3 linked regions of the Macaca mulatta genome follow. The protein of the gene in region 2 binds, or shares a complex with, the protein of the main gene of each other region. Links are inferred from orthologs where the notes say so. Each region holds a gene or a part of one and is shown on either strand. Other genes may lie near its edges. The genes, in order: FNIP1, LAMTOR1 and LAMTOR2.

Region 1 (3,647 bases), on a different chromosome or scaffold from region 2:
AAGTATATACTGCATGATTCCATTCATATAAAACTCTAGAAAATGCAAGTAATCTATCATGACAGAAAGTAAGCCAGTGGCTGTGTAGGGATGGTGGAAGAGGAACAGAGAAACTGGGGAGAAGAAGAGGGGGAGGAAGAGGAAGAGATTACAAAAAGGCATAAGGAAACTTTTGGAAATGATGCAATATGATTACTGTTTTGATTGTGGTCATGGTTTCAGAGGCATATATGCGAAACTTATCAAATTGCTTTTTTTTTTTTTGAGACAGATTCTCGTTCTGTTGCCCAGGCTGTGGTGCAGTGGCATGATCTCGGCTTACTACAACCTCTGCCTCCGGGTTCAAGGGATTCTCCTGCCTCAGCCTCCTAAGTGGCTGGGATTATAGGCGCCTGCCACTATGCCCAGCTAATTGTTTTTTTGGTTTCTTTTTTTTTTTTTTTTTTTTGAGACGGAGTCTTGCACTGTTGCCCAGGCTAGAGTGCAGTGGTGCGATCCCAGCTCACTGCAAGCTCCGCCTCCTGGATTCACGCCATTCTCCTGCCTCAGCCTCTCGAATAACTGGGACTATAGGCGCCCGCCACCATGCCCGGCTAATTTTTTGTATTTTTAATAGAGATGGGGTTTCACCGTGTCAGCCAGGATGGTCTCAATCTCCTGACCTTGTGATCCACCCGCCTCAGCCTCCCAAAGTGCTGGGATTATAGGCGTTAGCCACTGCACCTGGCCATTGTTTTGTATTTTTAGTAGAGGCAGGGTTTCCCCATGTCGGCCAGGCTGGTTTCGAATTCCTGACCTCAAGTAATCCACCCACCTCAGCCTCCCAAAGTGCTAGGATTACAGGCGTGAGCCACCGCACCCAGCCCAAATTGTGTACTTTAAATATGTGTTGGGCCGGGTGTGATGGCTCACATCTGTAATCCCAGCACCTTGGGAGGCCAACGTGAGCAGATCGCTTGAGTCCAAGAGTTTGAGAGCAGCCTGGGGAACATGGCGAAACCCCATCTCTACAAAAAATGCAAAAACTAGCCTAGTGTGGTGGTATGCACCTGTAGTCCCAGCAACTTGGGTGACTAAGGTAGGGGGATCATTTGATCCCAGGGAGATTGGAGCTGCAGTGAGCCATGATCATGCCACTGTACTCCAGCCTTGGCAAGAGTGAGACTCCATTAAAAAAATGCATTTACTATATGTCAATTATAACTCAATAAAATGGAAGGGAATGGGGGAGGGAGCAAGGGAGAAAGCCAATAGGGAAGGAGGTTGGTTATATGAACTGATAAGCCATATGACAATCTACCTGGCAAGGTCAATCACCAGAGCAACCTAAGGAAAGTTACTACCCAATCACCAAAATGTTCTCATCTTACTCTTCTCCCATCATCTAACAGCAATAGAGTAGGAGCAGAAATAACTAGCAGCTACGTTTACCAGACAGTCTTAACCATTTTACATGTATTATCTCATTTAATTTTTACAACTTTTAAAGTATGTATCATCTATTATTATTCCCACTTTATGAATAAGGAAACTGTGATTCAAACGTGGTGTGCCTGACTCCACAGCCTGTGTCTTTAGCACTCTGCTATAATCCCTCCCTATTGCCTATGAACTTATCAACCACTTACTCTCCCCTCTTCCCCCACTTGTTTAGTGGTGTTTAACACTGAGGGAAACATTTTCCAAAATGACTCAGCAAGTGAACAAAAGTGGATCAACAGAAACCTCAGTGAACTGCTTCCCTCCTAACCAGATTTATTTTAGGTATCACAGGTGACTTTGTTGATTCATTCTTTCTTGCAAAGTACCTAACACAAAGTACAAAATCATAAAACACCCTGAAAATCTGGAGTTACTAGTAAACCAGCTATTAGCCTGCTCCTCTTGCCATACCTGCAGTTCTTCATCTATAAGGAATGATTTCAGGTCTAAGATGAGGATAGGATAAATTGCCAGACATGAAAGGACAAGCAAAGCAGAGATGCTTTAGAATGCAGGAGGTAAAGGCATTTTATTTATTTTTGGTTTTGCTATAAAAATATTACAGATAGCTACAAAACAAGTTTAATATATACTGTAACAGTTGTCAGATTACATACCCAGTTGTGCCCAAAGTGGGTTATATGGATGAGTCTTTGCCAACATGTCCACACTCTGAGAGGAATGCTTTTCTAAAAATATTTTTATAGGTGGCTGTCCATTTGGCATGACTGTTGGAACCCAGGCAAGATGATTAGTCAGAACTGCAGTAATGAGAGCTGGCAAGAATCTGAAAACAAAATACATCTGATCAAATTCCAATCTGCCTTCATGAAACCTTTATGTAGTGACAAAGTAAGCAAGAAGAGTATATATGTTCATGTGGCCAAATGGCACCAAAAAAAGCAGAGGAGAGTGGAAAGGATGAGTATATAACACCAGGATTAAAATGAAAGTTAATTGTTTCCGGTTGAGAAGGAGTTAAAAACTACTTAAAATAAAGGTAACATTCAAAAGAGCTATTGTAGATCATAAGTACAAAACAGAAATGCCCTTTTACTTCAAAAATTATGGATTCTTTTTCTTTTTTTTGAGATGTAGTCTCGCTCTGTTGCCCAGGCTGGAGTGCAGTGGCGCAATCTCAGCTCACTGCAAGCTCCGCCTCCCCAGTTCATGCCATTTTCCTGCCTCAGCCATCCGAGTAGCTGGGACTACAGGCACCCGCCACCACGCCCGGCTAATTTTTTATATTTTTAGTGGAGACGGGGTTTCATCCTGTTAGCCAGGATGGTCTTAGCCAGGATGGTCTCGATCTCCTGACCTCATGATCCACCCGCCTCGGCTTCCCAAAGTGCTGGGATTACAGGCGTGAGCCACCGTGCCAGGCCCATTATGGATTATTTTCAGTGTTTAATCACACAATTCATTACTGAATCAACCAGCAGGTCCTTACATTTCCAAATTACTGAATGGGAAAACGAGGCAAAGTATTGAGCAAACTCCGTCTATCATCAAAGAGAATAAAAACATCTGAATTACTCATCTGGATTCCAAAGACTTGAATAGTTAAAAGAAAACAGTATGATAAAACATCACACTGAAAATGCATCACTAAAATCCTAGCATTTCCTTACATGTTTTTTTTCGTTTGTTTATTTTTTTGAGACAGAGTCTGGCTCTGCCGCCCGGGCTAGAATGCAGTGGCATGATCTCGGCTCACTGTAAGCTCCACCTCCTGGATTCATGCCATTCTCCAGTCTCAGCCTCCCGGGTAACTGGGACTACAGGAGCCCACCACCACGCCTGGCTAATTATGTTTTTGTATTTTTAGTAGAGATGGGGTTTCACCGTATTAGCCAGGATGCTCTCGATCTCCTGACCGCATGATCCACCCACCTCGGCCTCCCGAAGTGCTGGGATTACAGGTGTGAGCCACCACGCCTGGCCATCCTTACATGTTTTCTACCTCTTTTCTATGAAATAAAACTATAAGTGGATACAATTCACAAAAAAATGGGCAGCCTCAGACAATTCTATGTCAGGAATTTTAATTACATAATTACAGACATTTTCACTGCTTTTCATTCATAAGGTTCTGTAATATTCTTCCATACCCTATCATTTAATTATTTTTTAGAATTCTGATTATTAATTTTGATTAATAATAT
Region 2 (3,747 bases):
CTAGGCTTGAGAAAGAAGAGTAAGGTGAAAAGGCTGGGCCTCCCTAAGCAGGGCAGGAGGAAGTAGCCCTCTACAAGGAGAGTTGTGGAGTTGTGGGCAGGGGAGCTGGAGCCTGCAGCAGGAAAGACTGAGGAACTGAGACAGGCCTGGAGGGGAGCATTGAGGAGTCTGACACTGAAGGTTGGTGAGTCAGCATTAGCCAGGATGTCCCCCTGGGCCCATCCTTGGCTTTGTCCAGGGCACTCTTGCTCTTTATGGGTTGGATAGATACCCAGCAGGTTTGTTTTTCCAATTTACCACTGATAACAGCAATCAAGGATTTGCAGCTGATGGACTCAAGGCAGGGTCAAATCCAGAAATATTACAGTAGATAGAACAGGGGACTGAAACAGGACAAGTAGTAAGACCAAACCAGTGAGGAAGCTTGGTTTGGTCTTACGTTAGTTCAGGGGTTGTGATTATCAGCATAGGCCAGCAGTAACAGGGCTGCTGAAAATTTACATGGGCTACTCAGGTGGTTTAGCAAGGGCGGGAATAGCTCCATTGTTGTTTGTTTTGAGATGGGGTCTTGCTCTCTTGCCCAGGCTGGAGTACAGTGGCACAATCCTAGCTCACTGCAGCCTCAAACCCTGGGTTCATACAGTCCTCGCACTTCAGCCTCCCAAGTAGCTGGGACTGCAGGGCTCACACTACCAAGTCCAGCTAATTTTTTATTTTTTTTGTAGAGACAAGGTCTTGCTTTGTTGCCCGGGCTGGTCTCAAACTCCTGGACTCAAGCAATCCTCCTGCTTTGGGCTCCCAAAGTGTTGGGATTCCCAGTATGAATCACCACACACGGGTACAGCTCTACTGCTCAGATCAGGATACACCTCGTACACTCAGTTTGATTCTGGGAGTCACACAGAAAAAGAGCACCAGAGCACAAGAGGGTGAACACCTTCCTAGGGACCTGCCTTCAAGAAGGGAACACACTTGTACTGTGTGACCCAGAGCTGGGCTGGGATTCCTGCCCTGACATAATTTGAGAAATGGCCATGGAGAGGTTGGGCTTGCTTTCCCTTGGGGCCTAGGGCCTTGTCTGGACTCACCAGGGCTTCCATCTTGGAAGGAAACAGCTTTGCTGCGGAGGGCCTGGTCCTGGGGGATGAGGAGGGCTGTTCTTGGGCTCCTGACTTGCACTGGTTTCCCCTTTAGCTCCCATTGCTTTGCTATGTCTCAGCTCCTCTGTCTTCCAGCCTCTAGTATCCTTTCTCTGCCAGGTCCTAGAATGTTTTTCAAGCTCCAGGGCTGTTGCTGACTATCTGCTTTGTGCCTCTGTCCCTTTTTTCAGGGCCTCTAGGACTGCCTGGCTCCACTCTCGTTTATCCTAGAACACCAACTCAGCTGAGCTCCCAAGGATAGGCAGGAACTGAGTCTTATCTGGCATTCCATAAAGCTGGGCACTTTGGATATTCCTTATAGAAATATTTTTGGTGTTTAAGGTCAGAGCTGGGCTGACCCATGAAAGGCAGGATCTAAGGGTCCTGGGGCTGACTTCTCTCCCATGACCACTTCTAGGACCGAGAGGAACGGAAGCTGCTGCTGGACCCTAGCAGCCCCCCTACCAAAGCTCTCAATGGAGCCGAGCCCAACTACCACAGCCTGCCTTCCGCTCGCACTGATGAGCAGGCCCTACTCTCTTCCATCCTTGCCAAGACAGCCAGGTAAATGTCAGAGGACCAGGCCTGGGTCAGAGCTCCTCTATCCATATTAAAGGCCAGGATAGAAGGAGCGAGGCTCAGGACATGGGGGATGGGATAAGGTCACTGGAGAGAGGTGCCTCCATGTCCAGCCCTGCTCCAGTAGGCACGAGGGAAACTGGAGTCAGATAACCCTGGAGTTGGTACCTGGCACTGAGTCCTGTTTGTCCTTCTCAAAAGCACCTGTCATGTCATCTCTGTCTCTTCTCCCTAAAGCAACATCATTGATGTATCTGCTGCAGACTCACAGGGCATGGAGCAGCATGAGTACATGGACCGTGCCAGGCAGTACAGGTGAGCACCTGGCCAGGGTGGGTCCCTCAGGCTACTTGGGCTCCTACCCTCCATCACTGTTCCAGCTTCGGAGCCTGGCCCCTAGTCCAAGCTTCTCATTTGGTGCAGCCCTGGAGACTGACCACAGATCACTTGGGTGCTTCAGTAAATATTCATGTCAGCCCTGTTTACCCTGTGACACTCTCGAGGGCATTGAGGCCAAGGGAGGTGGGCCTAGAGTGAGTCTGTGATGAGCTGAGACCTTCCCTCCCAGATACCCCCCTCAGCACCCTGCTTCTCTGGCCTGAGGGGATGAGGCTTACCTGGGCTGGGCAGGGCAAACTGTGGCTTAACTGCGTACCCCCACCCCCTCTCTCGGTCAGCACCCGCTTGGCTGTGCTGAGCAGCAGCCTGACCCATTGGAAGAAGCTGCCACCGCTGCCGTCTCTTACAAGCCAGCCCCACCAAGTGCTGGCCAGTGAGCCCATCCCGTTCTCTGATTTGCAGCAGGTGAGACACCCCTTGCCTGCCCCTGCCCACCCTTCCCACACTGCCCAGGGTGTGGCAGAGGGTTCACCCACTCTGCCTCAGAGGAGGTAGGGAAGATGGAGTTAGGGAGCCTGGTAGCCTTGTGGGCCCCAGTTCCCTCTCACCTCGTTCTCTTAACATATGTCTTTCCTATCTCCTTCCCGCAACCTTTATTGTTTCACTCCCCTTTGTTCTTTTCCTTCTGTCTCTCCCATCCCTGTCTTTCTCTCTGCCTTCCTGTTCCCCATCATTCCCTCCTTCTCCTTCATCACCATCTAATCTCCCCTCCCTCTTTTTCCTGATCGGCCTCCTCACCTGTCTCTGTTCCTCTCCTCCCCGGTCCCTCTCTGTCTTAGGTCTCCAGGATAGCTGCATATGCCTACAGTGCACTTTCTCAGATCCGTGTGGACGCAAAAGAGGAGCTGGTTGTACAGTTTGGGATCCCGTGAAGAGAGGGGTCCTTGGACAGCTCTTCTCCTCTCTTCATCCCATCTCTACCCCACCCCCTTGGCCCCCAGCCTCACTGCGGCTTATATAGTACCCTAACCTGCTACTAATCACAGAGAAAAATGTGAAGAAGGAGGAGAAGAGGAAGGCTGGAAGCCTGAGCAAGTGAGGGTAGAACCTTTTGGGACTGGCCTTTGAAGCTCTGGCCAGGGATAGGGTGGGGGCCAAAAGGACAGAGCCTGGTATGTCGTCATAGTCATTGAGAATGTGGAGACACCAGTTTGGGTGGGGGGTGATCACCAGGGGACCTAGGGAGATCCCCTTCCCACCCTCTCTCTTGGCCTCAAAGTCACTCCTGCCCCCTCTCCCTGACTTGGTGCTCACATGCACCTCACGAGGGTTTGTGACCAGGGTCTGGATGAGCTTGAATTTGAATGAATTGAGTTTGTATTTCTAGAACCCTGGGTTTTTACATGTTTGGTCTTTTTTTTGTTTTGGTTTGTCACCCTCGATAAAGGAAGTATATTCATCCATGTGCTGGTTCTGGCCCCTCTGTCCTATTCATTCTACTTTTGACTACTCAGGTCTATGAGAGTAAGATGGGGGGCAGGGGGCATCTTGCAGAGGCACTGAAGATGAATCCAGGAGATAAGGGTTTAGGGTGTCAGCTCCTAGCTGAGACCTGGCTTGGGCTAACCTCAGATTGGATGAGACTGTTCTTGTCCCTTGTCCAGTGATGATGGGAACACTGTCAAAGCTG
Region 3 (3,747 bases), on a different chromosome or scaffold from region 2:
ACTCTCCTTCCCTTCAGCTCCTCGGAGTCCCAGCTGGCCCCCGCTCTCCTCTCCGGGGCCCTCCAGGACGCCAGACCGTCAGGGAGGCCCCCATCTCTTCGCAGACCCCTCCTCCGCGCTCCCCCCGCCTCCCGCCTGCTGTACTACCTCCTTGACCGAGGCTCGATCGCAGATCACAATTTCCTCCTTGTCCTTAGGGGTCTTGACGGTGACCCGAATAGGGGGCCTCGTCTCGGCCCCGCTCGGCTCCGCCATGCCGCCGCCGCCACCCGGCCGCCCGCCAGCCCGCCCGGCTCCTCCTCCTCCCCGCCCGCCCGGCCGGCCCGGCTCGGCTCCTGCGCCTCCAACACTCCCCTCTCTCCACCTCTCCCCTCCCCTCCCCTCCCCTCCTCTCCCCTCCCCTCCCTGAGGCTTCACCGCCCCCTCCAGACCAGCCGCAGCCACAGCGCCCCGGGCGGACCGGGGGGGCCACTGCAGCGGGGTCCGCCCAGGGCCAAGCCCCAGGTCCGGAATCCGGCCAGGGTCTCGCCAAGCTGGGGCTCCTGGGGAGGCTCTGGGCGGGGGAAGGGACGTGCCCTTCACTGCGGGGGCGAGGGCGAACTCCCCGGGAGACCGCGGCCCAACGCTGCTCGCCCGAGCCGTGCCGCCGTCCCCTCCGGCCCAAAGCCTCCCCGCCCCCTCCGCGGCTAACTCTGCTCCGGGACAAAGGACTTTGTGTGTCGCCGCTTTATCTCCGTTCCCTGTGATAACTTGGTCTTTCTTGGAAGCCCCAAGTCCCTTCCAGGCCAGGGGCCTTTCCCGACTTGGAGGTTGGGTTTCCCACCAAGCACGTCCACTTAGGATCTCAGCTCTAGGACTGACCCTATAGCCCCGAGGGTCGCGGCCTAAATGGTCTGTTGCGAACGGTTCCAGGGAGCTGGGTTTTGGCTGCGTGGCCTTTCAGAGCCTTGATTTCCTCAAGATAATAATAGTACCTCTCGCCTCATCGCACAGAATTGTGCATAACGGAGAAAACTGTTTTGAAAGTAACCAAAGGCGCGCCTGACAAATATGAGGATGTAGTATAATTATTGAATCGTGGACTGCCAAGCGGACACGTTGATTCCTTTCTCCCCGAAGGGGTTAAATGTCCTTCCAGCGCTGCAGCTGTCCTTTCACTCCCGCTCTTTTCCGCCCCCACAACCGCGTGGTCCGCCTGGAAAGGCGAACTATAGTTCCCATGGTGCCTCGCGAGGTCACGAGGAACTACGATTCCCAGAGACCCCCGCGGCGGGGCGGTGTTGAGTCGGAACCACAATAGCCAGGCGAGGAAACTACAACTCCCAGGGCATCCCGGAGCAGGCCAACGGGACTACGGGAAGCAGCGGGCAGCGGCCCGCGGGAGGCATCTCGGAGGATCTGGGTGCAAAAACCCAGGGTTAGGAGCGGTAGGCATGCTGCGCCCCAAGGCTTTGACCCAGGTGCTAAGCCAAGCCAACACTGGAGGCGTCCAGAGCACCCTGTGAGTGCGGACCACGGACCCCAGCGGCGCGCGCTGCAGTGGAGCGGCGTGCGACTCCCTGAGGGAGGGGTGGGGAAGGATCGCCCGGAAGGGAGGAGGCGTCAGAGGGGGCAGTGGCTGGGGGTACCGGCCGGGAGGTCACCTCTCGAAAAGGGAGGCCGGTGTGCTGGGTGCTTAGGGCACGTTCCGGGACACACTCAGCCGAGAGCCTTGCTGGATGTGCCCGTGGCGGGACTTGAGATGGAAACCCAGACGTTTTACTCCCCGCGCTGAGCACATCGTTATCCCTCCCCGCCCCTCACCAGGCTGCTGAATAACGAGGGATCACTGCTGGCCTACTCTGGTTACGGGGACACTGACGCCCGGGTCACCGCTGCCATAGCCAGTAACATCTGGGCCGCCTACGACCGGAACGGGAACCAAGCATTTAATGAAGACAATCTCAAATTCATCCTCATGGACTGCATGGTATGGAGAGGGGAGCCAGACTTCCCCTGTCCCCCAAGGGGATCCCAAGGGGGCGACCTGGACCCCATCCTGGATGGTTGGAGGGGCAGGGACAGGATCTCCGGAAGATTACTAAGAGTTGGTCTGCAGCAGCATTTGTAATAGGCAGGACCCTATTCATCAAGTGGTGGTGAGGAAGGAGCCCTGGACCTGAGAGGTCTGACTTGGGTTCTGGTCTCAGCCATCCACTTATCAGTTGTGGAACCTTGGGTAAGTCGCTTAACCTCTCTCAGCTTCCTTACCTCATGTCTAAGGAGAAGACAATTTCCCTCTCCCCGCTTCCCTCGTGGGTTGTTGTGAAGGTCAAATGAAATAATGGGTATAAACAGTAGAATGACGTGCAAACACAAAGTGTTGTCATCCCAGCTTCACCGACTCACAGAACCATGGCAGTCTCCAGACCCTAGTCCAACCCCTTAAGGTTACAAAGAAAGGAAAATGAAGTCCAGAAAGGGGAAGTCGCCATTAGACTGTGAACTTCCTAGTATCTGTTCAGTTAACAAATATTTAGGTCCTTGCAGTGTTCTCAGGACTAGGGAAAAAAAACAGCAAACAGAAAGACAAAACCCCCAGACCTAATAAATCTTACACAGTGATGCGATCACAGCTCACTGCAGCCTCGACCTCCCTGGGCTCAGGTGATCCTGCTGCCCCAGCCTCCTGAGTAGCTGTGACTACAGTCATGCACCACCACACCTCACTAAGTTTTGGATTTTTTGCAGAGACTGGGTTTTGCCATGTTGCCCAGGCTGGTCTCAAACTCCTGGCTCAAGTGATCCACCCACCTCGGCCTCCCAAAGTGATGGGATTACAGGTGTGAGTCACTGTGCCCGGCCACATTTTTTAAAATAAGTAAAATATGTAGTATATATTAGGTATTGAAATTGCAATGGAGAGAAAGCAGGGAAGTTAAAGAGTATGAGTTTGTTGGGCGTATGTGTCAGGGACAGTCTCACTGGAAAGGTGATATTTGATCAAAGATGTGAAGAAAGGTGGGGGACAAGCCATGTGGCTATCTGAGGGAAGAATATTTTGGACAGAACAGCAAGTACCAAGGCCCTGAGGCAGAATTATGCCTGCTCAAGGATCAACAGGGTTGGTTGGTATGGCTGGAGTTGCATGAGAATGGAGGAGGGTTAAGTAGGAGATAAGGTCAGAGAGGCAGGGAGTGCAGTGCTTGGTTCCTGGCATACAATGAATACCTAGTAAAAGTTTGCCGAACTTACTTTTGTTTTTTTCAAATCGGCCAGAGGGTGAACTCTCCAGGAAGGATCTTCATAGTAACTCAACTGCCTACTCTCCCCTACCCCCTGCACAACCAATGCCATTTTTAGTTCAACATAAGACTCCTACTGGATGCCTAGAGCTGGTGCTATAAGGAAATAGCTTTCAAACGTTTTGACCACAACCCAGCCATAAGAAATATATTTTAAAGGGCCGGCACGGTGGCTCATGCCTGTAATCCCAGCACTTTGGGAGGCTGAGGCGGGCAGATCATGAGGTCAGGTGTTCAAGACCAGCCTGGCCAACATGGTGAAACCCTGTCTCTACTAAAAGTACAAAAAATTAGTCAGGCATGGTGGCATGTGCCTGTAATCCCAGCCACTAAGGAAACTGAGGCAGGAGAATCACTTGAACCCAGGAGGTGGAGGTTGCAGTGAGCTGAGATCACGCCATTGCACTCCAGCCTGGGCAACAGAGCGAGACTCCATCTCAAAAAAAAAACCAAAACAAACAAA

The links.
Region 1: LAMTOR1 (region 2) and FNIP1 share a complex: the UniProt entries of both Homo sapiens proteins name them as parts of the lysosomal folliculin complex. The link is inferred for Macaca mulatta from reciprocal best matches to the Homo sapiens genes LAMTOR1 and FNIP1.
Region 3: LAMTOR1 (region 2) and LAMTOR2 share a complex: the UniProt entries of both Homo sapiens proteins name them as parts of the ragulator complex. The link is inferred for Macaca mulatta from reciprocal best matches to the Homo sapiens genes LAMTOR1 and LAMTOR2.

The regions. Positions count from the first base shown.
Region 1 is NC_133411.1:140,591,936-140,595,582, forward strand, and holds part of FNIP1 (folliculin-interacting protein 1), read right to left. Parts: intron 2,270-3,647; coding exon 2,100-2,269; intron 1-2,099. UniProt on the Homo sapiens protein: Binding partner of the GTPase-activating protein FLCN: involved in the cellular response to amino acid availability by regulating the non-canonical mTORC1 signaling cascade controlling the MiT/TFE factors TFEB and TFE3.
Region 2 is NC_133419.1:72,394,734-72,398,480, reverse strand, and holds the end of LAMTOR1 (ragulator complex protein LAMTOR1), read left to right. Parts: intron 1-1,557; coding exon 1,558-1,703; intron 1,704-1,955; coding exon 1,956-2,033; intron 2,034-2,395; coding exon 2,396-2,522; intron 2,523-2,896; coding exon 2,897-2,989; 3' UTR 2,990-3,521; downstream 3,522-3,747. UniProt on the Homo sapiens protein: Key component of the Ragulator complex, a multiprotein complex involved in amino acid sensing and activation of mTORC1, a signaling complex promoting cell growth in response to growth factors, energy levels, and amino acids.
Region 3 is NC_133406.1:110,879,780-110,883,526, reverse strand, and holds the start of LAMTOR2 (ragulator complex protein LAMTOR2), read left to right. Parts: upstream 1-1,308; 5' UTR 1,309-1,433; coding exon 1,434-1,501; intron 1,502-1,806; coding exon 1,807-1,969; exon of another isoform or gene 1,970-2,987; intron 2,988-3,747. Other genes in the region: UBQLN4 (ubiquilin-4), read right to left, coding at 148-255. UniProt on the Homo sapiens protein: As part of the Ragulator complex it is involved in amino acid sensing and activation of mTORC1, a signaling complex promoting cell growth in response to growth factors, energy levels, and amino acids.